Canis lupus familiaris: one gene and its partners. The protein of the gene in region 5 interacts with the protein of the main gene of each other region in a pairwise test. Links are inferred from orthologs where the notes say so. Each region holds a gene or a part of one and is shown on either strand. Other genes may lie near its edges.

Region 1 (4,075 bases), on a different chromosome or scaffold from region 5:
GGGCAGAGGGCAGCTGAGACAAGGGAAGTGGACACACGTGAAACAGGATCCATTAGAAAGATGGCAGTGTCCTGACCAATCACATCTTAAAGCTAGTTCTGCCAACGTGGGTTGTAAAGCAGGTCTATATTCTCTGTGAACCCAAAGGTACAGACAGGAAAAGAGCCTACCACTCATTTAAAGGCATTCTCACCTCATTTCAGGTATATGGCTTTGAGGCAAGGACCACCTGGGCTCTAATTCTTATAGAGGGGGGAGCTAAGCAGGCAACATAACTAAAATCTCTAGTATCTTTCTAAATGCCACTTAATAGGGGACTATGCTTTCTTCATTTTTTTCAGGATTTTAAAAATTATTATTTTATTTAAATTCAAGTTGCCTACATATAACACACAGTGCTTATCTCATGTGTCTTTCTCCATTTTTACTCATCACGTTTTTCTTTTATCACGTTTCTTAATGGAATGCCATACTGAAGGCAAATTTGAAGTAAATGTTACAGGCTGAATAAGGAGTATTACTAGACCAGTACCAAAGTGGAACTGCAAAAGCAGCAGGCAGGACTCCTAATGCTTTAAAGAGGTATAGGAAAACAAAGGAATCTGGTTAACTCAGGCCCCAGGGAATGTGCCAGATGCTACTGACTTGCCACAGTTCTCCTGCCCCCTCAACTGCTTTCTGCCCAACTACTGGATGTCAGTGCTTATACCCATACCACAGCTATTACCCAGGGATGGTGAAAGGATGAATATGTAATCTCTTCAGAAAGTTAAACTACGTAAGAGCTGAGTTGTTCTGATAAGGTCATACTCACAGGAATGTTGCCAGCAGTAGCCCCCGCTCCAAATCTGGCACCTGCATCATACCCTCCTTCCACCAGCACTGCTGAACCAGGTGGATAGATGGGACCAACTGGATAATAAGCCATGGGGATTGTGGAACCTAAAGGTCCAACAGCCACAGATTGGGCCATGGGAAGATACAGTGAGGCGCCAGGAAATGCAGCTGACATGGTGGGGACCGTGGCAGCCCCCGGATGCACGAAGCTCGGACGATAGAGCTAGAAGAGAAGGCAACAGGTTACTTTATGACATTCCGATTTTAGATCCCTTCTACGCTCAATTCTTAATTGTCCTTGTGCAGATTACACTCTTGAGTTACACAAACTGCCTTTCCACTGCCACTCAGTACCCTCCTGCATCACTTCCTGCCATAGCTAACGTGAGGCTCAAGGAACGCAAGCTCATCTTCTTAACCTCACCCGGTGCCAAAAAAAAAAAAAAAAAAAAAACATGAAACAATCAGATGATGCAGTCTCAACCCCAACAGAAATTGCGCTGAAGTGTACAGTGTTTCAGACTATTCACGTGAGCCCTCCCTTCTCCTATTTACGGACACTGAATAGATATGCGTGGACTCAGGCTTATTAGCTAAGGACTGAAGATGTGACCCAAGAGCACTGGGTTCAAGTCTAGTAAACTGGAAGCACCTCTGAGTAGGCAGGTGGAGCATCAGTATAGGGTGGAGCCTGAGGGAGATGCAAGGTCTGAGGGTACACTGGGTTCCCAGGAGGCTGCACGGGATAGGTTGGCTGCGTTGGATATTGACCTGGAAGACAAGAAAGAAAAAAAGAAAAAAAAAGGAAAGAAAAAGAAAATGCATGTTGCCTACCACACAGAGCCACCAAAATGGGGCAGAGCATCCTGGGTAGCTGCCCTAGGGGCAGCAAGCTGGAGATGTGTAGACAGACCGCTCTGGGTGGTGGGGTGGGGGTGGGGGCTGATTTCTGGGGCCGAGAGAATATTCTCTTCGCACCCTTATCCCTACTCCTACCGGGGCAGTCCTCCCACTGGCACACCCGAGCTTCTCCATCGATGCAGGGCAGGTGTGGGGCCCCGTTCCTGCCCGTGCCCAACGGCAGGGACGCGCTGCCCCGGCTCCGGGTGGTCGCCACAGGCCTGGCTGGACCGAGCCGCGACCTCGTTGGGTCACGGAGGTTGCGGGTTATTTGCCCCGCCGCTTCCTACTCAAGGTCGCCTTCCGAATACAGCGCGCGATGGACGTGAGCCCTCGGGACCCGAGGGAGGATAACGGGAACCGTCCTGAGGCACAGCGGAGGACCGTGTGGGGCCCGACGCCGGCACAGTCCCAGGAGCCGGGGGCACTTCGGGCGGCCGCGCGAGGCACGCGGAGGGAGACCCCTCCGCCGCCCCCGGGCCCCCGGGCCCCGGGGCCCGCCCGCCGGCGCCGCACTGGTTAAGCCCGGGCGCCGGCCTCTGGTTCCGGAGCGCGAAGCCCCGCCCCCGCCGGCGCGCCATTGGCCGACCCGCATCCCTGCTCTAGCTCCCCATTTGCTCCCGCAGATGCCCATCATGACAAGCCTCCCCCCTGCACCCCCCCGCCCCTCCACCCGAGCCCGCAGCTCCAAACTGCGCCACAGAGTTTAAGGAGGAAAGGGCCGGGAAGCAGCGAGCAGCCGCAGTTCGGGGATGACGAAGGCGTCTGGCGCGGCCCCCGGGGCCGCAGCCGGCCGGGGAGGGAGGCGCAGCGCGCCCCAAGCCTCCGCTTGGCGACCCCGGGCTCCGGGCCCGCTCGCTCCAGGCTAGCACTGTCCCCCCGACGGCCCCGGCCGCCCCCTGCCCTTGCCTTTGCTGTTCATGGTGGCTGCGGGTCCGGTTCGGCTCGGCGTCGCGGACGGTTATTTTTTTCGTCCTCTTCCTGTTCGTAGTCACTTCCGTGTCACGTGACGGCCCGTCCGCCTCGCGTCACCCGACGCCCGAGCGCCGCCGCCACCGGAAGCCCCGCCCCTCCCGCGCGGCGTCCAGTAGCTGGAGGGCGGGCGCGCGTGGCCCCGCCCCCCCGGCGCGCGGCGGCCCCGCCCCTTGGGTCTCGCCCTCCCACCCCCACCCGCGTCCCACGACGGGAAGAAAACCGAATGCAGGTATTGTCTCCAAACACGGTTGTTGGCTTTTTTTTTTTTGGTTTTGCCTTTGTTTTTTCCGCCCCCCCCCCTCCTCTCTCTCTCTCTCTCTGGGGCGCTCGGGGGCAGAGCCGCTGAAGCCGCTCCCCGGAACCTGCTTCCACCTCTGCGCAGCAGCTCAAGGTGACCTCACCTGCGGAGCGCGGCGGCCCCGGCCCCGGCCCCGGCCCCTGGACTGCGCGGGCTGGCGGCGCCGTCAGTGGGTCCTGGCCGCCTTGCCCGTCCCGCCGGCAGGTGCCCGCCTGCACTTGCGTCGCTGCCCCTCTGCCCGAGGGAGGCCCCGCGCAGGGCCCGGCCTGCCGCCTCCTGTAGCCTCCCTCTCTCTCCCTTCGTCCCTACCCTCACTGTCCTTAAGGGCAGGGGTGCCACCCTCTAAGGCAGCAGTGCCCCGGGCAACCTTCATTTTAAGATACGCCGCCTCTGCGCAAGTACAGAGATGGAGCTAAACAAGACCTTTTTTTTTTTTTTTAAGATTTTTGTTTATTTGTTAACCAGAGACACAGAGACCCAGGCAGAGGGAGAAGCAGGCTCCATGCAGGGAGCCCAACGTGGGACTCGATTCCAGGACCCTGGGGTCATGCCCTGGGCCGAAGGCGGACGCCCAACCGTTGAGCCACCTGGGCTGCCCCACAAGACATTTTTAAAAAAAATATTTTATTTATTTATTTGAGAGAGAGAGAGTGCACCGGCAGAGGGATGGGCAAAGGAGAGAGAGAAGCAGACTCTCCGCCGAGCAGGGAGCCCCATGCAGGGGCTGCACATCCCAGGACCCCGGGATCATGACCTGAGCCCAATGCAGACGTTTAACCTGCTGAGACACCCAGGCGCCCCCAGCACAAGATGTTCTTTTTTTTTTCTTTTTTTTTTTTTTTTTTTTTTATTTATCCATCAGAGAGAAAGAGGCTCCATGCAGAGAGACCAACGTGGGATTCAATCCCAGGCCTCCAGGATCTCGCCCTGGGCTGAAGGAGCCATCCAGCTGCCCAGAACACAATGTTCTTTTTTTTTTTTTTAATTTTTTTTTTTAATTTTTTTTTTTTCTTTTTAAATTTATTTATTCATGATAGTCACACGGAGAGAGAGAGAGAGAGGCAG
Region 2 (4,231 bases), on a different chromosome or scaffold from region 5:
CATCACTGCCCATCATGGGGCCTGATGACTAGGGGCTTGTTTGACAAACAAAAGAACAAAGCACGGAAGGGCCCTGTGGTTTCACTATTCACTTCTCACACTCATGTGTTCACCAAATGTTAACTGGATTTTGAGTGAACACTTATTACCTACAGCCCAGCCAGTGGCAGCCCCTGCCCTCCTAGGGGGTCCTGTGCCTTCTCCACAGGCCTCTAGCTTAGCCCAGTGTCTTTGAAATGGAAGAGGAAAGAAGATGGTGTATTTCCCAAGGACGTTCCTCTCCTCTGCTGCCCCCGCACACATAGCCCCATTCACACCACGCAGGAACATAAAAATCGCCACATAGCACAGTGTGTGGCTAACAGTAGGTGCTCAGTAAATGCCAGCAGACCCTGTGCAGCCCTGCCCCACCCCGTGATTCCCAGGCAGACACCCTCCTCAGTGCATTCACCACTTCACCCCTCTCCAAGACCCCCAAGCCTTCCCTGACCCCATCTGCCTTCTGACTTCTGGTCTTGAGAGTCCAGGGCAGTGGGGAAGGTGGAATCAGAGGCCTCACTGTCTAGCACAGAGACCAAAAGTTCAGGTCCTCGTCACCACCGTCCTTGCCCTGTTCTCAGCTTCCCAACGGTGGCCTCCGGCTCCAGGGTGGCGTTTTGAACTCATTATTACCCCAGCTCCTGCCACTCCGTAGTGGGTGATAGATGCAGAAACACGTGGGCCCCCTTCCAGGAGCAGCAGAGCCAGGGAAACCTTGGGGCACTGGGTAGAAGCAGGAAGCTGATGCTTCCAGATGCCCCAGAGGCCCTGGGCCACACCCCAGCAGCCGGCTGCTTTGTCCAGGGCAGCCCTGACTTAGCTGCCCTGGCTGCTCGTGCCACACTCAACGTGCCAGGCCGTGACCAGGCTTTGACCCATGCGCCAGCCCAGCAGCGTCCTGAAGGGATGGACCACCTCCCCGCGCAGACAGGAGAGGGAGGGGACCAAGAAGAACTGGGCATGCGTGTGCACCCACTTCCAGGACCCTGGTACCACAGGAGCAGCCGTAGCTGGTTACCTAGGCCGGGCGCTCCACAGGTGTCACCTCATGTGGCCCTCACAGTGCCTGCTGTGCAGATGCGCCAAGTAGTGCTAGGGGTGGGGGCCAGCCCAACCAAAGCCTCTTGGCTTTCCAAGGGGTGGAGATGGCATCTGAACTCAGAGCTGTATGACTGCAAGCCACCGTAAGGGCCACGAGCCCTTACACTCTACAGGCTCCCTGGAGCAGGGGGCTAAGGATTAAAGGGTTTCAGGCAGTCGCCACACCAGGTTGCTTGGTTGCTCGCAAGGTGCCCGGCCCCTCCCCCTACCACCTGCAAGGTGGTCTGATGTAACACAAGGAGCACTGGACTGGGAGTCCAGAGGCCTGCATTCAAGTCCCAGGTCTACTACCACAACCAGTCCCCGCCCTTTGCTTATCTGGGCCTCAGTTTCCCCTCCCACGCAAGTTCCAGGGTCGTCCTGGCCCAGGGTGGCTCTGGGGCCGTTTCTGCTCCACCCATACTCTGAATCAAGGGTTCCCCTGGCCACCGCCGTGGCCCCCTAACTCATGTGCTTGCAACTTGAGGCGCCTCTCCATGTGCATCCCAACAGCACACACCTCTGTTGATCCGCGGGATGGAGAGGACGTCCCCCCCGCCCCCCCCCCCCCCCCCCCCGGGCTCCTGCACCTCCTGGGTCACTTGCGGGGCTTGGGGAGGAGGCGTGGCGCCGGGAGCTGCCCACTGCGCGGCTACTTAACAAAGACGGCGACCCGCAGCCCCGGGGCCTCTCGGTTCCCGTTCCGTCGAGGGCGCCTACACTGCGCCGTCGGGGCGACACCCTGGGGACACGGGGGCGAGCGCACCACGGACGCGGGGCCCGGAGCCCAGGCTGGGTCCCCGCGCCGGGCGTCCATGGGGCACCGCGGGGCGCGCCTCGGGCCTTGCAGGGCGTCCCCGGGGAGGACGGGGACCCCCCCTCCTCCCAGCACCCGTCGCGGCGACTCCCCGTTCCCAGGGGTCCGAACGCCCGGGACCCGCGCTGGGGGCTGAGCCCGGCGCCCGTGCCCCGACCCGCGAGCGCACAGGCGCCTCGGCGGCGAGCCCGCCCCCCGCGCCCCCCGTCCAGCTCCCCTCCCCCCGCCTCCCTCCACGACCACTGACCATAGTGGCCGCAGCCGTCGGGCCAGGTCCCGCCGCAGCGGGCAGCGATCCGGTGCGGGAGGGCGCCGCGGGAGCCACCGGCTGGCTCCGCCGTTGGGCCGGGCGGCGGGGGCCTCGAGGGCGCGGGGGCGAGCGGAGAATGCACCCGACCGCTCCGCAAACCTCAGGCTAGACCTCCACTGTGTCCCAGCGAGACGCACGCCCCGCGATTGACGTCTGAGGCGGGCAATCAGCAGCTGGGACGCAGGACGTCACAGAAAGTGGGTGGGACTCCACGCGCCTTCAGCCTATGCTTCAGGGTTTATTTGACAGGGCACCGCCCCCTTTTAAAGACACAGAAAGCTTTTAACTAGCAAAGGAGTTAGCCCGACCCAGAAAGGCAGGGCTTCATTTGTAAAGGCTGAAGGGCTTTTGACCAAAACTGCAAATTGAGGCCTCCTGAAAGATTAGTCGGCTCTCATTAATTTCTCAACAAGGCCACGTAAGTATAGTTTGCTCCAGATCAGAGGACAGGTGCTTGGGGAACACGTGCCCAATAACATCAAGTTACCTGCCTGCCCTTGTGTAGCTTCTAAATAATGTTTTACCCACTTCCAGCTCATGAATCAGTCGGTTAGCAGGCACCCAATTAATGGTTGTTGAGTGAATGAATTTCCAGGATTGTTGATGCTGTGCCTCTGGAATCCTAAGGCTGCATACGTGTGGCACAGACGTAAATCAGGTCTGGTGACTCAGCCTGCATACAAGCTCATTATTACGGAACATCAAACACAGGAATATGTATCATTCAAAGATTCATTCACCAGCCCTGCCCCCCTTCCCCAGGAGATGCTTCCAGTGGGGGAGGGAGGGTTTCTGGGGAAGGGGGTGCTCCAGTGCATTGCATGCATCAATTTACAGGTGTCAAAACTCCCAGGTCCGTGTGTTAAGCAATTGCCCATTCCCATGCTCACTGTCCTGCCCCAGGCACCAGGCTTGACTCTTGGATAAACAAACATCTGTGTCTTCCAAGTGCACATCATTTACTAGGTGGAGAATTTAGGCTTTAATCGTGGCTCGAGGAACAAGAACAACAAAGATGAGTTTTTATTGAACACTCACTGTGTACTGGGCGCTGTCCTCAACTCTCAACCTGTATCATCCTACTTAATGTTCTGACAACTAATTTACAGGGATAGGTTGCCTTATTATCATCCCTATGATCCTTGTTTTACAGATGAGGAAACTGAGGCACAGAGACATTTAAGGTACTTGCCCAAATTCGCCCACCATACAGTGGGATTCGATCCCAGGCAGCCTGACTCTGGAGCTGGTTCCAAACTCATTCTGCTGAGGAACCATGCATGTGATGATGAGGGTGTGTACCACCACGCCCCTGTTTGCTTTTGGAGGGCTCTGCTCCTTGTTTTTTTTTATAGCCAAGGGAGTCAGAGAGGTAAGAGAAGCAGCCCAGTGCTGCTCAGCGACAAAGTGGCCTAGCCAGGCTGGTTCCCCAGACTTTTGACTCCTCGTCCGGTGCTTGCTGAAAGCTGTGCTGGGCTTCACTCTGTGTGGGAATACCTGAGCCAGGTGTACTTCCACGGAGAGCGGGTGACAAGTCTTTGCTGGGAAAGGGAGGGCACAGGCTTAGCCCTGATCAAGCTCACAGCTGAGGCATTGAGGGCCTCCGGGAGGAGGACCCCGAGTGGGCTGAGGCTTCTAGGAGCCCTGTGTTGAACCATACTAGACCTCGAACCCTTGGTCCACTTTGCTCCCCTCCCCAGGCCACAGCAGCTCCAAGCTAAGCTGGTATCCCAAGTTTGGAAGGAGCGTCGGGCTGGAATTCCCAGGGAACACTGGGCTCCAGACCGGCTCTAGACTCTGCCACTCACTGCTGCATGGCCTCAGACGACTTCCAGGCCCTCTCTGGGCCTCTGATTCCCCTCTTATTGAGAAGGTTGGACAATTGGAGCAATTTAAAAAAATACTTAAAAAATATTTTTAGTAGTGTGTCTTTTAAACAAACAAACAAAAAATCTTACCCAGAATCTCCATATATGCGTAATGGA
Region 3 (4,053 bases), on a different chromosome or scaffold from region 5:
TACCTGAAAAAGAGCAGCGAAGGTTTACTCTTCCTCTTTTCCATGAAACCAAGCCCTTGTCCTTGACTGAGGACAATTAAGTTTGTCTCCAAATGAAAGAGCATAAAGACCCCTAAGCCCAGTTCATGGTGTGTGGTTATGGGGGGTGTGGGGGGGTGAGTGTGGTTCAGACTCCCGCCTTCTTTGGGGTGGGAGTAGTTTTGTTCAACCTACGATGCAAATTCACTGACGTCACCACGGAGCAAAGACGATCTAGTCTTTCCTTGAATCCTTCATTGACGGGGTGCTCACTCCCTAACGAAAACCAACCCCTTCCCTTTTGAACACCTTTTAAAATTAGAAAGTGTTCTTTCTCTGTTCCTTCTTCCGCCCCCTCCTTCCACTTCCCACTTTCCCTGTCCTCCTCCTTCCTCCTTGCATCTTCCCCTTTCTCTTCTCTTTTTTTTTTTTTTCCACCCTGCCCTCTCTCTCTCCTTCCTTCCCCCTCCCAGGCCAGAGAGCCCGAGAGTTCCCTATCTTTGTCCCGAAGTCGCTATCCCAGCCCGGGACAGCCTGGGAGGTCTCTGGGGCGGCCCGCTGGCCCGCTGACCCGAGCTCTGGCGCCCACGGCCACGACCGCGGTCCGGAGGTCGCAGGGTCTTTCGGAAGCAAAACCTTTTATCTGGGCTCGGCCTTCTGGTTCATTAATGCCATCCGTCAGTTCGCCCAATTTCCATGATTAACCCGTCTGGAACCGCAGGAACCACACGAAACTTGGCGCGGCTGGAGGCGGCGTCCGGGGGCCCCGCGGGCTGAAGGCGCGGGCGGCGGCGAAGGCGGGGCCCGGGCGCGGCTCCCCGGCCCCGGCGGTGGGGACCCTCCGCGCCGCAGCCCCGCCGCGCCCGCCCTGCCCGGCCCCGGGGCGCGCTCGGCCGCGCGGTCGCTTTAAGAGAGGGGCGGGGCCCGGGACGGCGAGGCAGGGCCGGCCCACCGGGCTCCTTTTCCTTTTTGATCCATTCAAAAATTACTCATTGCAAATTCCCGGACCGCCGGGAGCGGAGAGGGAAGGGGCGGCGGGCCGAGGGCTGCTGCGGGCGCCGCGCGGGGGCCCCGGGGGGCGCGAGCAGCTGACGGCCGGCCCGGCCCGTGCAGCCGGGGGCCTCACCAGGAAGCGTCCGCCTCGGCCCCGGGGAAGCTCCGAGCGCCGCCTCCCGCCTCCCGCCTCCCGCCTCCCGCCTCCCGCCTCCCGCCTCCCGCCGCCGCCGCCGCCGCCTGGCGCCCGGCCCCCGAGCCCTCCGCGGCTCCCTCCCGGACGCTCGGGCTCGCGCGGCCCCGGCATGGCTGGCCGCTGAGCCATGGCTCAGTACGGCGCCCCCGGGCCGCTCGGCATGGCTGCGAGAGAGGAGCTGTACAGCAAAGTCACCCCGCGCAGGAGCCGCCAGCAGCGCGCGGGCACCATCAAGCACGGGTCGGCGCTGGACGTGCTGCTCTCCATGGGCTTCCCCAGAGCCCGCGCGTAAGTGGCCTCCTCGCGCCCCGCGCGCCCGGCCCCCGGCCCCCGGCCCCCGGCTTCGCCCCGGCTCGCCTCCCCGCGCCCGCCGCACGGGCGGCGCGCTCCCCGCTGCCCCCACCTGCCGGGGCGGGGCGCGTCCCCAGGTGCGGCTCGCGGGCTCCCCGAGGTCCCCGGCGCCCCGGGGGAGGCGGCACCCCCCCTCCCCCCCGGTGCGGGACGCTGGGCCGCCTTAGGGTCCTCCGAGGGCTGGGAAGGGGCGCGGAGGGGCCGGCGCTCTCCGTGCAGCGGCTTCCAGCTCCGGATGTCGCTCGGGTTCGGGCCCCCTCCGGAGTAGGAGGAGCGGGAGCGTGGGTGTTGCTGCGTGTTCATTGATGGGGAGGATGCAACGAGAAGGAGACGCGATCCCTCCTGGGGACCTGGGTGCTCGTCAGTGGTGACGGCAGCGCGGAAATCTGTGGGTGCCTGAGAGTAGGGAAGGGAGCTGGGGTCCCGCATCCTTCTGCCCCTGGAGAGTGGGGAGGGGCAGGGCCCGGAGCGCAGGTGGCTGTCCCTGCAGCCCGCTGGGAAGAGGCCTGGCCGCCCGCGCAAGGCAGCGGCAGCAGGAGGCTTCTCCAGCTTCCGAAGCTGGTCAGCCGAGACCGTGGGGCTGGAACCCTGCCGAGGAGGAAGCCGTGGCCGGGTGGCCCGGTGGCCCGGTGGCCCGGTGGCCGGGTGGCCGGGCCCTCCTCCCTTGGTTAATTTCTCCGTGCGGATTTCTTAGGTAGGGGACACCAGGCCTGCGATCCGGTGGGGGCGCTGCTTCTTTGAATGACATCACCTGAACGGCAGAGTTGGGCAAACTTTATCAGGAAGGGCCAAGTTAATGAAAAAAAAAAAAAAATTTTTTTTTTCTCCCTCTTTTTCTCAGGTAGTAAGTCTAGGTTACCCTTCCCCAGCCTCTGGGCAAATCTCGCTTACTCTATTCTTTGCAAACTTGGCTGTGAACCCAGAGCCAAAAGCACACCCCTGGTTTTACCTTTCCACCCAGCCGGCTGGGACAGTCAGGAAAGTGGGCCCTTGGGAAGTCAGGAAATAGGCCGATGCTTTTGACTTGGGTTGACTTCCAAGCAGTGGGGCTCGTTTTCCATTAAGGAGGGAAAATTCGGTGGGCTCTGCAGGGCTGTGTCAGGTGTGGATGCTGCAAGGTATGCCCTGATTCTGGCTGATGGACGTGCACACCTCTCCTTAAGCACGGGAGGTGGGGCCTGGGGAGTCTGCAGGGTAATGCTGCAGAATTAGCACAGTCCCTGGCATCTAGGCCAACATTAAGGACCTAAGTTGCTCAATGTAGGGAAGAAATACTTAAGTGAACTCCTCAGACTGTCATGTTTGCTATTCAGACCTGCTTTCAAGGGGCATCTTTTTTCCTGCACTGGGTCCGGGAGGCCTTGTCCATGTCCCCACAGATTAGCATGATGGTCTAATTTTGACTGGCTCAACCCCTGAGATCTCCTAATGGCTAGCATTTATTGAATATTTATGATGTACTATCCTAAGTGCTTTACCTTTATTAACCATTGTGCCCTAGCAACACAGTGAGAAAGCTAACACACATGCCCATCTTACGCATTTGGAAACAGAGGTTTAGTAAGGTTATATAACTTGCCCAGAGTCACAACACCAAGCAATAAGGCTGAGATTTGGATCCACGGTGTGTCTGCTTAACCTCACATCCAGAGCCAGTATGTAATGAGTTAATGTAAGCGAAATGCTTAGTTGCAATGCCTGGCACATTGTGAAAGATTATTAAGCCTTAGTTGTTACCGCATTCGTTTCTGTGGCTGCTAGAACAAATGACCACAAATTGGCTGGCTTAAAACAACAGAGATTTATTTTCTCCTGGTTCTGGAGGCGAGAAGCCCTAAATCAGGGTCACTGGGCTGAAATCAGATGTCAGCATGGCTGTGCTGCCTCTGGAGGTTCCAGGGGAGATCCACTCCTTGCCTCATCTAAGTCTTGGCGGCGGCTGGCATTGCTTGGCTCGTGGTGGCATCACTCACTCCGATCTCTGCCCGCCCGGTCCCATTGCCGAGCTGTCTGCGTCAGATCTCCTTCTGCCTTTTTACTGTAAGAGTGACTGCTCTTAGGGCTTCTCCAGATAATTCAGGTTAGCCCTCCCATCTCAGGATCCTTTATCACATCTACAAAACGTTTTTTTTTTTTTTTTTTTTCCTCTTTTTTATTTTTACCATATGGGGATGTTCACGGTTCCAGGGATTAGGACTTGGAGAACTTTTGGGGAGCTCTTTTCAGCCTATCACAGCTCTGAGCATTCTGACTAGCACTGCCTCCCTTTACTGAAGGGGTGACCGAGTGGGTCCTGATGGAACAGTCTGAGCGGGAGGGAAGTTGGCTTTGCTGTTCGGTCTCCATCAGAGCCCCTGCCTGGGAGGGGGCGGAGCCCTTGGCTGTCACCTGATCTAGTTCTCCTCTCACCAGGGCTGCCAACTTGAAAAGACAGACAGCCAGGGCATCAGGCTGAGCTTCTGAGAAGCCTCTTTCTTAGGCCTTAAGCCTGGAGG
Region 4 (4,243 bases), on a different chromosome or scaffold from region 5:
CAAGAATAACACATGCCAGCCTTGAAGCTTTTTATCTGTAAAGGCTACAGCCTCCCAGGCCTAGGCGGCCTTTGCCCTAATTTACTCCAAAGGGGATGTTTATTTGGTTAGTAGGAAATGCTTATCAAGTGAACTTTTTGGAGACAGCTGGAGATACATGAATAAAGGTGAAACTCGCATTAAAAACCTTGTATTTAAAAAAAGGTAATTTTGAGGTTAACTTCATTTACATTGTGGACAATTACTATAATTATTGTCTTGAAATTTCCCAACAGTTAAGATCTTTTTTACCCTATCACCTCATGCCATATCCAAGTAGTACCCCTTTCCCAGCAGAATTCTTTGATAATAAATAGTAAAAGAGCCTTCGTTTTAAGGCAGCTCTCCAAAGACCAAACCAGAAAAGATGCTGAAGGAAAGGTTAAATTCAACAAAATCGTAAAAAGGGATGTATACTGCCAACACTTTCAGGACCACTCTTTGATTAAACTGAGTTTTTCAGAAAGTACCTATAAAAAGTAAAAGACCACATTTGAAGGGGAGGGAAGAATATGAAATGGTGAAAGGCCATGCTGTGAAAAAGGTACTTAGTTTATAATACCTGCAGTGTTCTCCACTTGGGGCCGTGTCCAGAGAGGCAGAAGACACTCACCTCACCAACGGGCAATGAACAGCAGCTGAAAAGTGTAGGGTGGGGTACTGGACTGGGGACTACCCTCACTCCTAAATGGGTCCCTCTACCTTCCTGGCACTCATGGAGAACACTGCTGTTACGAACAGACCGAAACCAGGAGCTTCAAATGCAGGACTTACAGAGCAAAAACTGATGGATTATGTCGAAGTCATAAAAGTACACCTGACCATACCTCATCTCAAAAGAACAAGACTTTAAAGTCTCAAATTTAGGACACATAAAACGCTGCTCAGAATAAGTCATAACAATCCGAAAACATATTTGGGTGCAGAACGTGTATTTACCTATATAAGCTCTTTCTTGTTCCCGAGTAAGTCCAGGGGGGATGACTGTAGGCATTCCTGGAATCACTGTCTTCTGTTCCATTGTATCTTGGTTCCAGCGGCTCCTCTTCCGCTTCTTACTTGGGAAGTCTAAAGGCAGAGAAAACCCATCAAATACAAATATAAACCAACAAACTAACTACCAACAGGCAGTTCACGATACTTATAATACTACACACAACCTCGGCAGACTGGGAAACTGAGAACTTGACCTAAAACGTAAATGGCAAAAAATGGAAGACATACCCAAGAAATCAGAGACACACAGCCGCCACAAAGATACCTGGCTCTGGGTCCAAAAACATATTTCATATTTATAACATATGTCAAAAAAACGTGAAGTATGTAAACAAGCTAACAAATCTTAATCCCTACAGTTTCAGATATGCAACATCAACCACAAATGTTTTAAAAACCCCAGGGGAGACAAAATATACCGAATAATCAGATGTGGTAAAGTATGCTGAGAAAACTGTTGGTTCTTCCCACCTCCAAACCCCACCAGCCACCTTTCTAAAGGGACCAGAACACAACCAAACTTACAATTTACTAAGTGAAAAAGCCCAATTCTTCAAAAAGCTCACTTTTTTCTTCAGAAGTTTAGTCAAGATAAGCATTCAGTTTTCCTGGCTAATTTAGACACTTAACATCAGAACTCCTAAATGAGGTATCAAAAGTTCAACAAAATACAAGCTATCCAACAGCAGCCAAATACTCCTCCTCCAAAACAGAAGCGTAAACTTTCTACACATCTGGTACACACAAATCAGTTCTACTTGGAAAGCCCCAACAACTAAGGGGAGACATATCAGACTTCTCTAAGATAAACGAATGGAGATTAGGAAAATATTCCTTCCTCCAAAAGTGCACCGGCTCCAACCACACCACTGAGGATTTTTCGAGCTCTTCCTTTCACTGCAGTAAAAACTTCGCACAGAGAGATAAATTACTCTCGCTTTCCTACCTTTTGGACTTCTCTAGAATCAGAAAGGTGCTCCACGTCATCAATTGACCCTTTCACGCCCTCCCGACACGCACATCCCTCAACCCGTCCACCAATTCAACCCGCTCGACACCCCTCTCCTGTACCAAGCTGTAGAGAGCAACACAGAGCCCCCCCACCCCATTTCCATTTATTATCGGGCCACAAAGCCCGGCAGCCATACTGCGCCTGCGCACAACACCCTCCGCGCTCCACCCCCCCACCCCTTCCAGTGCGCGTGCGCACTCGGGGCCCGAGAACCGGGCCGCGCGCCCCTTGGCGCCTCCGCCCGGGGCCTCCCCGTGCGCGCGCGCGCCCCTGCCGCGTGCAGCCGCCGTCGCCGCCGCCGCGCGCCCCTCAGGCGGCCGGGCCCGTCCGCGCGACGCCTCTCGCGCTCTCTCGGCCCGACTCACCTCCTCCGCCGCCGGCCGGGCCCGGCTGCTGGTCCTGATGGGGTGGCGGCGGCTGCGGCGGCGACACGCGCTGGTAGAGCGGCGGCGGAGGGGGAGGCTGCGGCGGCGGGTACGAGGAGCCCGGGGAGGGCGGCGGCGGCGGCGGCTGCTGGGGAGGCGGGGGCGGCGGCGGTGGCGGCGGCGGCAGCGCCGCGAAGGGGAAGGCCGCGGTCAGGGCTCCCACCGAGCCCACGGGCGGGGGCGGCGGCTGCCCGGGCACCAGCAGCCCCGCCCCAGGCCCGGGAGCAGGCGGTGGCCCCGGCTCGAAGCCCCCTTTGGGCCCGGAAACGGGGGGGAGGCCGGGGGGGCCCAGCTTACCCAGCGGCGTGGCGTTCGCTCCGGTCGCCATGGCGCCCCCGGGGACCGGCACCGGCGGCTCCTTTTAGGCGGTGGTGGCGGCGGCGGCTTCTTCGCGAACCTTCCGGGGGGAGGGGACCCGACTGCGCTGCCGCGGAGCGCGCGGAGCCCGTCCTCTCACGCGGCGGGCGGCGGCGGCGGCGGCGCGAGACGCACAAAGAGGGAGGAGAGAGGGCGCCGCGGGGGCGGTCCGGGGGCGACGGGTCCGAGTCCTGGATTGGGCCGAGCCCAGGCAAGGGGTCGGAATCGGCGGCCTCCGATTGGCGGAGCCTTAGCCCCTCTCGATGCACGCTGGGATTGGCCGGACCGTTAGGCCGGGGGGAAGAAATGGCGGCCGAGCCTGGCGAGCTGGGAGGTGTCGCAGCGCGCACTTCATTTGTTACTGCGCGAACTGAGCTCGGAGTCCAGAAAGGAGGGGAATGGGGCGGGGCAAGCTCTGTGACGTAGGGGGCAGGGTCTTTCTCATTGGTTGAAGTTGATTGGGTCAATGCTCGGTTGCGTCGTAGTGTCATGGGATTGGCTGTCGCTTGTCCGGTTCTTTTTCTACTCCTCCCCCGGGGAGCAGTTTCTCTGGGATTAAGCGAGAGGTCGCGGCGGTACCCGGCAGAACGAGATTTACGGCCGGGGAGGAGTGGAGAGGAGAGCGCATGCGTAGATGGGGCAAGGCTGCCTCTCCGACCTTCGCTTCATGGTCGACTCCTTGGTCCGGCGCGGAAGCCCTTAGTGACGTTAAGTCTCGATTCCCATAGTAACCCGGAACCGAGGGACGGGGGAGGGGCTGGCGCGCGACCGTAAACCGGAACCGTTGACGCGCCGCAGGTAAAAAGGGACTTCCTGTTTTCTTAAAAAAAAACAAAAAACAAAACAAAAAAAACAACTATAAAATAGTCTATTTGAAGGATCAAAGCGATACTGAGCCTATGGAAGAACACATCATCTTAGGCAGAAAACAATAATAATTCGATTTCAAAATTAATTTGCACAACAAAAAAAAAACCAAAACAAAAAAAAAAACAAAATTAATTTGCAAATACATTGTATTTCCATAGAATCAACTAGGTTGGGGGTTGATTACATCATCTTAAAGTCATATAATTATGAGAATAGTGGGGAAACCTGTAAACGAGGTTGAGGAGGAACTCGCTTTTCGGAATAGTGTGCAAGACACTGTAATGAAACAATGTGATTTGTTGAAGGAAAGACAGATGAGCGCGACAGAATAGACCAGAAATAGATTCCCCATGTGTAGATTCAGTAAAGATTCAGCTAACAAATGGTATAGGATCTTAAACAATAAAACAGACCTAAAATAACAATATAGGAGACCAACAGGGTTATCTAGAGGTGGAGACTTAAGGAAAACAAGAAACTCAGACTAGTAAATATATACTTGATCACTAAAGAAATTAGAACTGTAGGATAAAAGCCAACAGAT
Region 5 (4,090 bases):
TAGAGGCAACTGAGAGCCAGTGAAGAATTTTAACAGCCAGTTAAGATGACCAGATTTGAATCCTCAAAAAGATCACTATGATGATGATATTAACAGATTTTAGGGATGGGAAAGGAGAGATGGTAGCTACAACCTTCCAAGCTATGTACTTACCGTTCCCAAAAGGCAGTCTCATGCTTTAAAGGTTCTGCTCTCAGCTTACTGCAAAATAGGTTATTCTACCTTTAAGAGATCGGTAGCTACCAGAGACTCTTTAATGGTCCCCCTGAGGAAACCAGCATCCCAAGGCCTCCACTACCAGGTTCTTTCTTTTTCCCTCCTAAGGTCTTCTTTAAAGGCACAAAGATTATGTTAGGTCACCTTACCAGAGTGTATCTCCCAGCCTGGTTTCAAGGAAGGTATCTACCCCAAAACCTTACCTTCCAATTCCCAATGACTGTTGCAAATTCTAGCCACTTCTCAAAGCTATTTTAAACTAACACACGTATATGTGTCTGATTTCTCCATGTACATTCCTTAAGGAGATGGGAAGAAAAATGGGAGGGAATATTTAATGCACACCAACTTAAAGCTTGATTCTTTTCTGTAAATTCTGTTTTTTAAAGATTTTCTATTTACTTATTTGGTAGAGAGTGAGTAAGCAAGAGAGAGAGAGAGAGAGCGCGCGCGCACAAGTCAGGTAAGAAGCAGAGGGAGAAGCAGACTCTCTACTGAGCAGGGAGCCCAGTGTGGGGCTTGATCCCAGGACCTCAGGATCTCGACCTGAATTGAAGGCATACACTTAACCGACTGAGCCACCCAGGTTCCCATTTCTTTTTTCTTTAAAAAAAAAATTCTTTTTTAATTTATTTATGATAGTCACACACACACACACAGAGAGAGAGGCAGAGACACAGGCAGAGGGAGAAGCAGGCTCCATGCACCGGGAGCCAGACGTGGGACTTGATCCCGGGTCTCCAGGATCGCGCCCTGGGCCAAAGGCAGGCGCCAAACCGCTGCGCCAGGGATCCCCTCCTGTAAGTTCTCATTTAATCCTCACCACAACCTTAAGCAAAGTAGGTATCTATATTTCCACTTTTAGAGATAAAGAAATGATCACTCAAAGAGATTAAATGATATATCCAAGACTGTAGAGCCAGTGTAAAGCAAAGCTGAGATTTGAAGCCACAATGCCTATGGGTTTACCAAGGCTTTTCTTTTATTTTTTTATTTTTTTAAGGCTTTTCTTTTAATAGGTTTCCATGTATCTTACTTTATTCATTACTTAATCTCCACTTTACTCAGTCTATTGAACTGCGTTATATTGAACGATCATAGAATAGAGCAACAACCTGGAAAAACAACCAAAAAAGTGCAAATGGAAAACTTAGACAACAGATACAGGTAGTGGTAACAGTAGAAGCAGCAGCAGCAATCCAACCAAGCTCTTTGGAGCCCTAGCAGATACTGACTGGCAAGGACAGAAATAACCAAAACCCAGGAGGTTGACAGACCTCCATTCCAAAATTTTATTTCCTCTTCAGCCAGGCCCAGCAGAGTCCTTGGTAAAATACTGCCTAATCAGGCACACATCACAAATGAATTCCAATAATCAGACGCAATCTCTCCCTGAGGCGTTCCCACTCTTACAAAACCACTAGGAACTGGAGAAAGCTTTTGTTCTCCATCTGAAAAACTGCCTGCAAGCACTTGGTGGTAAAGGGAAATTGGGTTTGAGAAGCAGATGGCTTGTCAAAGAGCCTAAAACCTAAGGTGAAAAGGAAGCAATTTACTAAAATCAAACACTCTAAAAGAGAAACCAAGCTTCTCTGAGATGACAAAGAATACCATCATAGTCGTGATTTGCCCTCCAAACCGAGCACTTTGTAGAAGCAGAAGCCAAATCTTACATAGTAGGATCTAGGTACATTGGTTCATAGTTATCACCGCAGGTTAACAATAACATTCTGGATTTTTCTAAAAGTAAGCATCACTTGTTTATAACAACTGTGTTTAGTGATGGAAGGACTCTGTCATAGAAAGAAAGTACTATTATATCAATTAGACCCTCAATATATAGTAAGTGGAGAGAGGAAGGAACTTAAAGGTTAACTAAGATAATATAAGCAAAGAGCCTAGAAATTGAGCTGGCACAAGGCAGATGCTTAATCAGTGTTGGCTTAACTGAACTGAAAAAGAAGAGAAATTAGCATTTGTTTGGTACCTTTTTTTGTTTGTTTGTTTAGTACCTTCTGATTATCAAAAATGACCTTACCAGTTTTCATATACTTAATCTTATTTAACCCTCAAAACAATCCAGAACAAATGTTAATCATCCTCATTTTATATATAAGAAGAGAGTTTCAAAAAACTTAAGCTATTTGCTTGGTTATTCAATTATTAATGGGCAAAAAGTTCTGATTTGTTCATAATATCAACGAATTATACTAAGCAAAAAATAATAATGCCACCTCACATTTGGATAATGTTTTAAAGTTTTTTACTGCATAACAAAACATGTGAAGGGAAGCACTAGACTGGGAATTGGAATACCTGAGTTCTAGTGTTAACTGTGCCAAACTGCTATGCAGCTTAAACTAAGTTCCTTCCTCTTTCTGGATTTTAATTTTCTCACTTAACTCAATAGTAATATATTTAACTTAAAGACAAGTTAAATTATCTTGAAATTCCAGGAATATAGGACACACAATCAGGACCCGACTGGACAATAAATTCTCCCTTGTTGCCTAGTATTCACTCTGCTCTTCCTCTGGCTACTCTCTCAGTACTAATATCTTACCTTCACCTGTCCATCAGCCATTTCTAAGCCAGAAGCATCCTTTCCGGTGCAGCTCACCACCTGTGTTGGATGCTTCATTAAGTGGAAAGCTGATACTGTACTTTGCTGGAAGCCTGGTGCACAAATGTTACCTGGAGATGAATAAATCATTCCAGTTGTGTTGCAATCGTAAGGGCAGCAGCTGTGGGTCTAAAAAACAGATGGTCTTACAAGGATGGAAGACTTTTCTCCTATCTGATTTTCCTAAGGCAAGCAGGTTTGGGTCAGCAGGAAACCTGGCTAGGAAGTGCCTGAGTATAGCTAGTATCCAGTGATGAGGAAAGAGGACAGAAATGCACATTCAGTTTCTTTCCAAAACAAATGAATATATTAGAGGCTGCAATTACCAGAATCCCACATCCTTATTTTTATACCTACTCATCCACTTCCAAATCATTTTTTTTTTCAGTCTAACACTTCTTTCCTTGATTTTAATATAAAGAGCTCAGGGAGAATGCCTAGCCTGGGCATGAAAACAGCTTTAAGATTTGCTAAGACAAATTAAAAAAAAAAAAAAACAAAAAAAAAAACAGAGAAAAACAGACTAAAGTTATTGGATAACAGTGGAATGAGTGCCTTAGGACATGGTCAATAATAGTAGGTGTGCAATAAACATATGTTTAATAAAGTAATATGCCAAGTACCATCCTAGGTGTTTTCCATATATTCTCATTTCATTCTCAACATAGCCTTTATTTTATTATCTCCATTTTATAGATAAGGTAATTAAAACTCAGAAAAGTCAGGTACTTTGCCCAGAGACACACAGCAAATTAAGTGAAGGGAGTCACAACTGACCCCCCCATGGCTAAATGAATCCAAAGCTCTATGCATCTTGTTTTTCAACCTCCTATCCTACCAAGAACCTTCTTGCTGTTCCTCAAACTCATTCCTACCTCTGAACCTTTCTGTTTCTTGTTTCCCTCATCACTTCTTCTCATGGCTTTCCACTTTAGATCATTCAGGTCTCTGCCCAAATGCCATCACTTCAGAAAGACTTTTCTTGGTCATTCCCGCATCTTGTTTTTTTTTTTTTTAATTTTATTTATTCATGATAGTCATCACAGAGAGAGAGAGAGAGAGAGAGAGAGAGAGAGAGGCAGAGACACAGGCAGAGGCAGAAGCAGGCTCCATGCAGGGAGCCTGACGCGGAACTCGATCCCGGGTCTCCAGGATCGTGCCCTGGGCCAAAGGCAGGCGCCAAACCGCTGCGGCACCCAGGGATCCCTGTTGTTGTTTTTTTTTTTAATTTGGCACTAATATTGTATTATT
Region 6 (3,500 bases), on a different chromosome or scaffold from region 5:
CCCCCGGCCCCTCCAGCCCCCGGCCCCTGCAGCCCCCGGTCCCTGCAGCTCCCGGCCCCTCCAGCCCCCGGCCCCTGCAGCCCCCGGCCCCTGCAGCCCCCGGTCCCTGCAGCCCCCGGCCCCTGCAGCCCCCAACCCCTCCAGCCCCGTGCCAGGGCAGCATCTCTGCCCAGCGGATGCGGCTGTGGCTGGCGGGGTCAGGCCGGGCCACCGGCTCTGCGGGAGTGGAACCCTGAGGTCAGGATGCAGCGAGGGGTACCCTCGGCCGGTGGCCCGTGACCCTTGGAGCCGAGCCCCCCACAAGGACGTGCGCCCTGGCGGCCGGCGCCGTTCGTCGCTGGCCAAGGCGCGGCTGTTCCTTTGGCGCGAGGCTCTGAACGAAGGCCCCCGCGGAAAGCGGCGCTCACCTTGGGCTCCCCTCCGCCCCTCCTTCCAGAGCAGGAAGCTGGGCACATGCGCGGCTGCAGGAAGAGCCAGAACCTTCTCTTCGCAGCCAGGGGGAGGACGCTGGCTCTGTGCCCGCCTAGCCGCCCCGGATGCCTGCGGACCCCGGGCCTGTCTCCCCCGCCCCCCCGCTGCTCCCACTCCCCCGACCTCCCTCCCTCGCCCCCCTCGGGTCTCCCCAGGCCATCCCGGGCGCTGTCCCCCTTCGAGGTCGTGGTGTTGCTCCACAGGGCCCGTCTCCCGGGAGGCACCGCCATGTGGCCCTGAGGCGGGGGGCTCCAGTCCAGCGTCCCGCACGTGGACTCCGCAGCCCCCTAGCTGGGCACACACGCTGGGGTCAAGGGCCCTAGACGGCGGGGAGGCCTGTGGGCCGTGGGTTTGCCTCCACCACGTGACAGACCTCGGAACCTGCCCCTGGGTTCGTGGGGGACTGACCGTGGCGCACGGAGGGTCGCGCTCAGCACAGCCCCGGGAGGCCGGTCCTGCTGGGGGGGTTGAGGTACGCCTGCACGCCGGCGACGGCGCTGTGCACCTGCTGGAGGGACGCCAGCCGTGCTCACTGTGCTTCTCTGCAGATGCTGGATGAGAACCACCACCTGATACAGTGTATCCTGGACTACCAGAGCAAGGGCAAGACGGCCGAGTGCACCCAGTAAGTGGCCGAGCGGCAGCGGCGGTCCCGCCCAGAGGATGGCCTCGCCCACTGGTCGCTGCCCAAGGAGCGGGAGGTTTGCGGGGAGATGGAAGCATGGGAGGCGGGCCGGCTGCTGGACACACAGGGGACAGTGCGCTCCTCCAGCTAGGACCTCGTGTGGCCCCCGGGCCTGGCTGCAGCAGGCCTGTCAGAGCCCCCGGGGGCCGGTGGCGGCAGCAGCCCCGTGTGCCTGAGGGTTTTCTCTGCTTCGGGGAGCCGGCCTCTCCAGGGGTGCAGACGTATCGAGTCAGCCTGGTGTCGGGGTCAGATGGAGGAGGCCTTGTGCGGAGTCTGCTCGGGCGTCTGCCTCAGCCTCTGTCCTCTGCCCCCCTGTGACCTCTCCTCCACCCCCTCCTGTTCTCTGAACAGACCTGGTGACCCCTCCCCTTGGCCCCCGTTTTGGGGTCTTTCCGCATGCTGTCATCAGATGGGATCCTGCTCAGGACTCAGGCTGGGGCCCGTTCCCTGCCTTGCCCTGTCTGACCACAGAGCATCTGGTGCCTGGCCTGTCCCTGGGCATCGCCTGCGCTCAGCATCCCCTTGGGGCTTGGCTGCAAGGCAAGGCTGTCCCCGGTAGACATCTTCGGATTGGCCTCCGGCTCCTCTGCCTCACCGTGCGCCCTCACCCGCAGGTACCAGCAGATCCTGCACCGGAACCTGGTCTACCTGGCCACGATCGCGGACTCCAACCAGAACATGCAGTCCCTGCTCCCCGCTGTGAGTGCTTGCAGAGGGGGGGACGGTGGGGCCCCGTCCTAGCCCAGCGCTATCAGGCGCTGCTTCGAACTGCTGGTTCGGAGAGCAGATGTCTGAGCGCGTTACCTGGAGTAACCAGGTAACAGGAGCATGGAAAGAGGGTGGGAAGCCAGTCAGAGTCTGAAGTGGACTGGTCAGAATTGTGACACCCGTTTCTTAAGCAAAGGGAGGTGACCCAAAGGAACCAAACCTCTAATGGCAGGAGGCGGGTCTTGGGAGAGCAGGGAGTGCCAGTGGCACACAGGATTCTTGCTCTTTATCGTGAGCCCTTCTGAGCGATTGGAAAAACGGTAGCCTGGGAACATATGCTGCTCTGATTCAGCAAAACTGCAGAAGCGCCCGGTGCAGTGAAGGCTGTAAACACCAGTGTTAATTTTCTTTAAATTTTTTGCTTAACTTTTTAAAAGTCTTTTTCCCAAAATCAAATTATTGCCGCAAAAGCAAGACCTAGTGGCGGCTGCCTCCTCCACAATAAACAGGAAGGCACGGCCTCAGGAGGGCCTGGCCCTTGCGGGACCAATGGGCAAGGAGGTTCCAGGACAAACCTGCCACCGGGAAGGGCTTCCTGCTGCCCCTAGTCCCTTGGAAGTGACTTTCTAAGTGCCGGCATGTGTTTTGCTGACAAAATCATTGCACCAGCCTTGATTGGCCTATGAGATTGGGACTCCTCAGCCTGGAGGTACCAGTGGATCCTGCTGGGAACTTTGTTTTCTCGGCCAGGTTAGGCAGCATATGGGTCCAAACCTTTGGAGGTGCTCTTTGATTTGGATTGAGGACATGAGATGCAGGGGTCACTCCATCCCGTTGCCCTCTATATCCTGATCAGAGGTGGGCTGGCAGCAGGGCAGGGCACACACAGAAGAGGAGCGACAGGAATGCCAGTGCTAAGGCACGGGGCAGTCTCTGCGAAGGCCCTGGGGCATGGAGTGGTGTGGATGAGGACATAGAACCCTGGCGAGCTGAGGGGCAAGGGTGTGGAGTAAGTTGAGGTAGATGCAGTCTGGGGTGCTGTATCCCCGGTAAAGAGGACCCATCTTTGAACTTCTAAGGATGTGTTGATAAGCTTGGAAATTCATTTAAGTTCTGAATGTTCACACAAGAATGCTTGGTGTATTATCTTGGCCTAAAAGGCTTGGGCCTAGTGATCCACCATCGTCTGATCAAGTATGAGAGCAGCAGTTGGTTCTAGACATTTGCCAGGTGGCCATGAGACAGGTGGATCTCACGGGCCACCAAATCTCTGGAGGGCTTCAGGTGGTTATTCTCTGGGTTAACCATCCTCCCTGTTACCTCCCTGTTGCCTGCAGCCGCCAACGCAGAACATGAACCTGGGCCCCGGAGCACTGTCCCAGAGTGGCTCCAGCCAGGGCCTGCACTCCCAGGGCAGCCTCAGTGATGCTATTGGCACGGGCCTGCCCCCGTCCTCCCTCATGCAGGGCCAGATCGGCAACGGTGAGTAGCTTTGAGCACCTCGGGGTTGGGGCTGGCTACTGGCAACCATGTCACCAACTCGGGCTCCCGGGTGACCACTGTCTCAGCAGGGTACCCCATGCCCCACAGAGCTGAGTGTGGGACCGCCCTCCTCCCAGAGGTCCTGGCTCCAGGT
Region 7 (3,500 bases), on a different chromosome or scaffold from region 5:
TCTGACAATAAAAAGGCTGCTTATGGAATACTGTTATGTTCAACTTTACTTACAGGATGTTAAATCCTTAGAACTAAGGTATCCCCCAGAAAAAGATTAATGGAAACATCGATTGCTTTTCAGACTTGATAGTTGCTGCTTCAAAAGGTGGTTTTATACAAACACTAAATTAAAAAAAAAAATCTTTAGAACACAATGAATCGCTTTTATTTCGGTATGCATCCACATCTCAGCATTTAGTGGTCCTGAACAGAAAAGTGGAAAAACGCAGCAATTTGCCAGGAAGTCAAGCCCGCCAATTTCGGGGATCTGCTGTGCACACTGAGTTCTTTCTCGATCCCTGCTGAGGACCATGAGACGCAGCAGCACCAAAACCAAAGTATGCACCGAATCCAAGGTTCTTTTCGTTCCAGTTGTCAGATTCCAAACTAGACCCAAATGGATTGTAAGATGACCACATGAGAACCCTGTTTAAAACTTCTTCAATTGTTAAAAGCAAAAGCAATTATAGGAAAAGAAAACAATTCATTCAGAGGGATCGTGTGTGCTTACAAGTGTCTTCTGTGGCCTTTCTCCAAGTTTTACCACCAAGCACTTTGAGAGCTGGCAGGTCTGAATACCCCTGGTGACTGTTCTTTTCACTTTATCAAAACCTGAGCTAAAAAACGGCATCAGCTGATGATGACAGCAGAGGGTGGCAGGGCTGAGGACCCAATATTCATTCCCAGGCTGGTGGAGAGTGAGTAAATGTGGTTCCAAACTAAACGAGGGAAGTCAGAGACTCTTTCCAACCTTACCTGATGGCTTCTGGCCAAAGCAAGGAAGTATTGGGTTGTGATGGTGCAAAAAGGGACTTGAGGAGGAAGGAAAAAGCAGCACCCCTCGATTAAGGTGGGGGAGAAGATATGGGGAAAGCCCTGAATTCCTCACCAAAGGCCAATTTCAGAGGGGAGCAGAGGGGGTTACAATCTATGCTTCGGCCGAGGGTGGTCATGGGAAGAGAAAGGATGATGGCTTGGAGGGGGGAGGGCATCATTTAAGACTTAAAAAAGGAAACCAGGGGTGCAGCTGGAGCACCCCTGCACACCCAGCAGTAGTCCCACAGGCTGCGACCTGAAACCTTCACGCCTATTCTAGCAAGCCACCCCAAGCTGGAGGGCTGTTGCAGGGACAGAGGGGTGGGTGGAGGGAGGGAGGGAGGGAGGGAGGGAGGGAGGGAGCCAGCAGGAGGAGAAGGGGAGAAGGCAGAGACCCCAGGCCATGTAATCAGCAGCAAGGTGATTGTGTGATGTGTCTTTTCACAGTTGAGTTAGATGTGCCCCACCGGTTATGATGGGAATCAATTTAAATATACTTTCTTGATCCCAGAAGTTCAACTATGTGGACAGTGGTTACACTTGACAGGATGATTTGTTATAGCACAACTTATATATTTCAAATGGACAAAAAATTAGTATCGTTTACAGTATCTTAAGATAAATTGCCTTTGAATGGGAGCTTCCTTTCCAGTACTTTTGAGGTCTACAAGACGTATCTAGAAAATGTACTACTGTGGAAAATGACTGCTTAAATCGAATGGGGGGGGAGAGGGGGCCTGTGGTTTCTCTTTTTGATTAATTGCTGTAACACTGTCCTTCGGGTGGCTGAGGGAGTTTCATGTTTTCTTTAGACATCATTAGGCGCCGGAGCTCTTGCAGGACAACTTTGATGCTATATGAATTCTGCCATTTTGCTAGCACGGATATGGCTCTTGGGTCCACCTACAGAAAGGCAAACAAAAAAACTGTCAGGCTCTCCAACAAATGAATCACTATATGCTGGAGTAAAACTGCAGATAGGAGTAAAGTGCATTTCTCAAGTGGAACATGCCCATCACACCACCATATCTGACATGTAGAATTACCTGCATGACTCCCTCCCTCTGGGCAGTCTGTTTTTTCCTGTTTGTGTCCGAACCCTCACTGTTTAGGAGAAGGAAACTATGGATATGTAAAGCTACCTTCAGAGAAATGGCCCTGACACTTAGCAAGACTCCACCCAGCTGGCTCTAGAACAGTGACCTGCTCTCCTGGATGCACTGGCTGCTGCCTCTGCTCAAGGCTGTCCTTTCTTGGCTCTACACCCAGGTGGTAGATGATAACAATGTTCAGTGCAGTAAGGAGCAAAGGCAACTGGTGGCCCAAATCCACACTCTGGTGACAAGGCCCTGCCTCTGAGTCACATTCTCTCATGTTAGTACCGTAATTCCCAAAAGAAATTTCCCAAAGTGTGAGTTGAGTTTTGGGTTCAGGACTTTGGTGGAGCTCAGATACAACATTAAACACTGAACACACAGCAACAAGCCCATATCTTTTCGCTTTTCTTTCAAGTCTTCTGAGTGTCTCAAAACAAAGGCTTAACTCACATAATGCTAACACGTAAAACCCTTCAACACTTGCTGATCTCCCCTTTGAGCAGGTCTCAAAGGCTCAAAGCCTTTGGCAAGAAACATGGGGCATTTATTAATGTCACTTTGATTCTGTAGTATTTACTGTTGCCATTACTGCCTTCTATGACAAGAGAGGCTGGTTTTCCATTTATGGTAGTAAAAATGAATGTGAAAAAGCAAGCCATTAAAGGGGAAAAAAATAGCATGTCCTGTAAATAAGGCTCAGGAAGTACAATTATGACCCCGGATAGGACTTTGCAGCTCCAAGCCTCAGGCTCCTCATCTTTACCTCATGAGGGTGTATCATGAAGACAGAATGAGCTCCTATCTCAAAGCAAGCAGCACAGTGTTGGCCCAGAGTAAGTGTCACACGAATGATGATTTAAACACAGCTGAGGAATAGGCCCTTACACCAAGTCTGCATATGTTCATACTGCAATATATTTCATCATCAAATCACCAAGATCATCAAGATTATCAAATCACCAATATAGAATTAGGGCCACAGTGCTCCTGGTGTTTGAGTACAAAAAGCATCTCTCAACCCAAAGGAACAATATGGGCAGGAAAAACAACTTACCACTCCATTAGAACTATTAACTCCATTCATATTAATTTTTGTTACAAATCTTACAAAGGGGGGTGCTTCTGGGTATTTAGGTCCACATTCTATTTTAAGGCTGTATATTCGGTTTTCATAAATTGTCTGGAAAAAAAAGGTACAGAGATGTCAGGCAATTACACACCATGAACTCAAAAAGGCAGATCTTTTGAAACCCCATTTATTCCTGCCTGCAGAACTGGTGTATCTACTTCCTATATTTATACATAGTCTACTTGTTATTTGTTAAATTAGTAGTAACTTGTCCCCACACTAGTGTATATCAATTCTGGTCTTGGGGGAATAAAAAGGCAGAAAATTTAAAATAGTATCACTGAAGTTTCAAGTTAGTGTTATTTAAATCCAATCAGATGGACTTGTTTTTATATTAATTTCTCTACTTTGCAGACCTGTCCTGTGCTCTGGGCAATGGTGTGTAATAGGCATTCTTTACTCTGGAAAGCCACATTA

What was found.
Region 1: the proteins of FAM168A (region 5) and DAZAP2 interact in binary tests that used the Homo sapiens proteins (3 or more experiments, as listed by UniProt). The two-hybrid records come from large-scale screens. The link is inferred for Canis lupus familiaris from reciprocal best matches to the Homo sapiens genes FAM168A and DAZAP2.
Region 2: the proteins of FAM168A (region 5) and OTUB2 interact in binary tests that used the Homo sapiens proteins (3 or more experiments, as listed by UniProt). The two-hybrid records come from large-scale screens. The link is inferred for Canis lupus familiaris from reciprocal best matches to the Homo sapiens genes FAM168A and OTUB2.
Region 3: the proteins of FAM168A (region 5) and UBASH3B interact in binary tests that used the Homo sapiens proteins (3 or more experiments, as listed by UniProt). The two-hybrid records come from large-scale screens. The link is inferred for Canis lupus familiaris from reciprocal best matches to the Homo sapiens genes FAM168A and UBASH3B.
Region 4: the proteins of FAM168A (region 5) and SF1 interact in binary tests that used the Homo sapiens proteins (3 or more experiments, as listed by UniProt). The two-hybrid records come from large-scale screens. The link is inferred for Canis lupus familiaris from reciprocal best matches to the Homo sapiens genes FAM168A and SF1.
Region 6: the proteins of FAM168A (region 5) and SS18L1 interact in binary tests that used the Homo sapiens proteins (3 or more experiments, as listed by UniProt). The two-hybrid records come from large-scale screens. The link is inferred for Canis lupus familiaris from reciprocal best matches to the Homo sapiens genes FAM168A and SS18L1.
Region 7: the proteins of FAM168A (region 5) and UBE2V1 interact in binary tests that used the Homo sapiens proteins (3 or more experiments, as listed by UniProt). The two-hybrid records come from large-scale screens. The link is inferred for Canis lupus familiaris from reciprocal best matches to the Homo sapiens genes FAM168A and UBE2V1.

The regions. Positions count from the first base shown.
Region 1 is NC_049248.1:43,029,695-43,033,769, reverse strand, and holds the start of DAZAP2 (DAZ-associated protein 2), read right to left. Parts: upstream 2,801-4,075; 5' UTR 2,660-2,800; coding exon 2,647-2,659; intron 1,609-2,646; coding exon 1,490-1,608; intron 1,061-1,489; coding exon 892-1,060; coding exon of another isoform or gene 815-891; intron 1-814. UniProt on the Homo sapiens protein: In unstressed cells, promotes SIAH1-mediated polyubiquitination and degradation of the serine/threonine-protein kinase HIPK2, probably by acting as a loading factor that potentiates complex formation between HIPK2 and ubiquitin ligase SIAH1.
Region 2 is NC_049229.1:63,423,457-63,427,687, reverse strand, and holds the start of OTUB2 (ubiquitin thioesterase OTUB2), read right to left. Parts: upstream 2,801-4,231; 5' UTR 2,786-2,800; coding exon 2,775-2,785; intron 2,352-2,774; exon of another isoform or gene 2,187-2,351; coding exon of another isoform or gene 2,184-2,186; intron 1-2,183. UniProt on the Homo sapiens protein: Hydrolase that can remove conjugated ubiquitin from proteins in vitro and may therefore play an important regulatory role at the level of protein turnover by preventing degradation.
Region 3 is NC_049226.1:11,663,956-11,668,008, reverse strand, and holds the start of UBASH3B (ubiquitin-associated and SH3 domain-containing protein B), read left to right. Parts: upstream 1-1,253; 5' UTR 1,254-1,334; coding exon 1,335-1,495; intron 1,496-4,053. UniProt on the Homo sapiens protein: Interferes with CBL-mediated down-regulation and degradation of receptor-type tyrosine kinases. Promotes accumulation of activated target receptors, such as T-cell receptors and EGFR, on the cell surface.
Region 4 is NC_049239.1:52,884,969-52,889,211, reverse strand, and holds the start of SF1 (splicing factor 1), read right to left. Parts: upstream 2,801-4,243; coding exon 2,413-2,800; intron 1,108-2,412; coding exon 979-1,107; intron 1-978. UniProt on the Homo sapiens protein: Necessary for the ATP-dependent first step of spliceosome assembly. Binds to the intron branch point sequence (BPS) 5'-UACUAAC-3' of the pre-mRNA. May act as transcription repressor.
Region 5 is NC_049242.1:24,822,185-24,826,274, reverse strand, and holds the start of FAM168A (protein FAM168A), read right to left. Parts: upstream 2,801-4,090; coding exon 2,780-2,800; intron 1-2,779.
Region 6 is NC_049245.1:47,030,026-47,033,525, forward strand, and holds part of SS18L1 (calcium-responsive transactivator), read left to right. Parts: intron 1-1,019; coding exon 1,020-1,096; intron 1,097-1,770; coding exon 1,771-1,855; intron 1,856-3,201; coding exon 3,202-3,346; intron 3,347-3,500. UniProt on the Homo sapiens protein: Transcriptional activator which is required for calcium-dependent dendritic growth and branching in cortical neurons. Recruits CREB-binding protein (CREBBP) to nuclear bodies.
Region 7 is NC_049245.1:37,194,639-37,198,138, forward strand, and holds part of UBE2V1 (ubiquitin-conjugating enzyme E2 variant 1), read right to left. Parts: intron 3,135-3,500; coding exon 3,009-3,134; intron 1,761-3,008; coding exon 1,614-1,760; 3' UTR 1-1,613. UniProt on the Homo sapiens protein: Has no ubiquitin ligase activity on its own. The UBE2V1-UBE2N heterodimer catalyzes the synthesis of non-canonical poly-ubiquitin chains that are linked through Lys-63.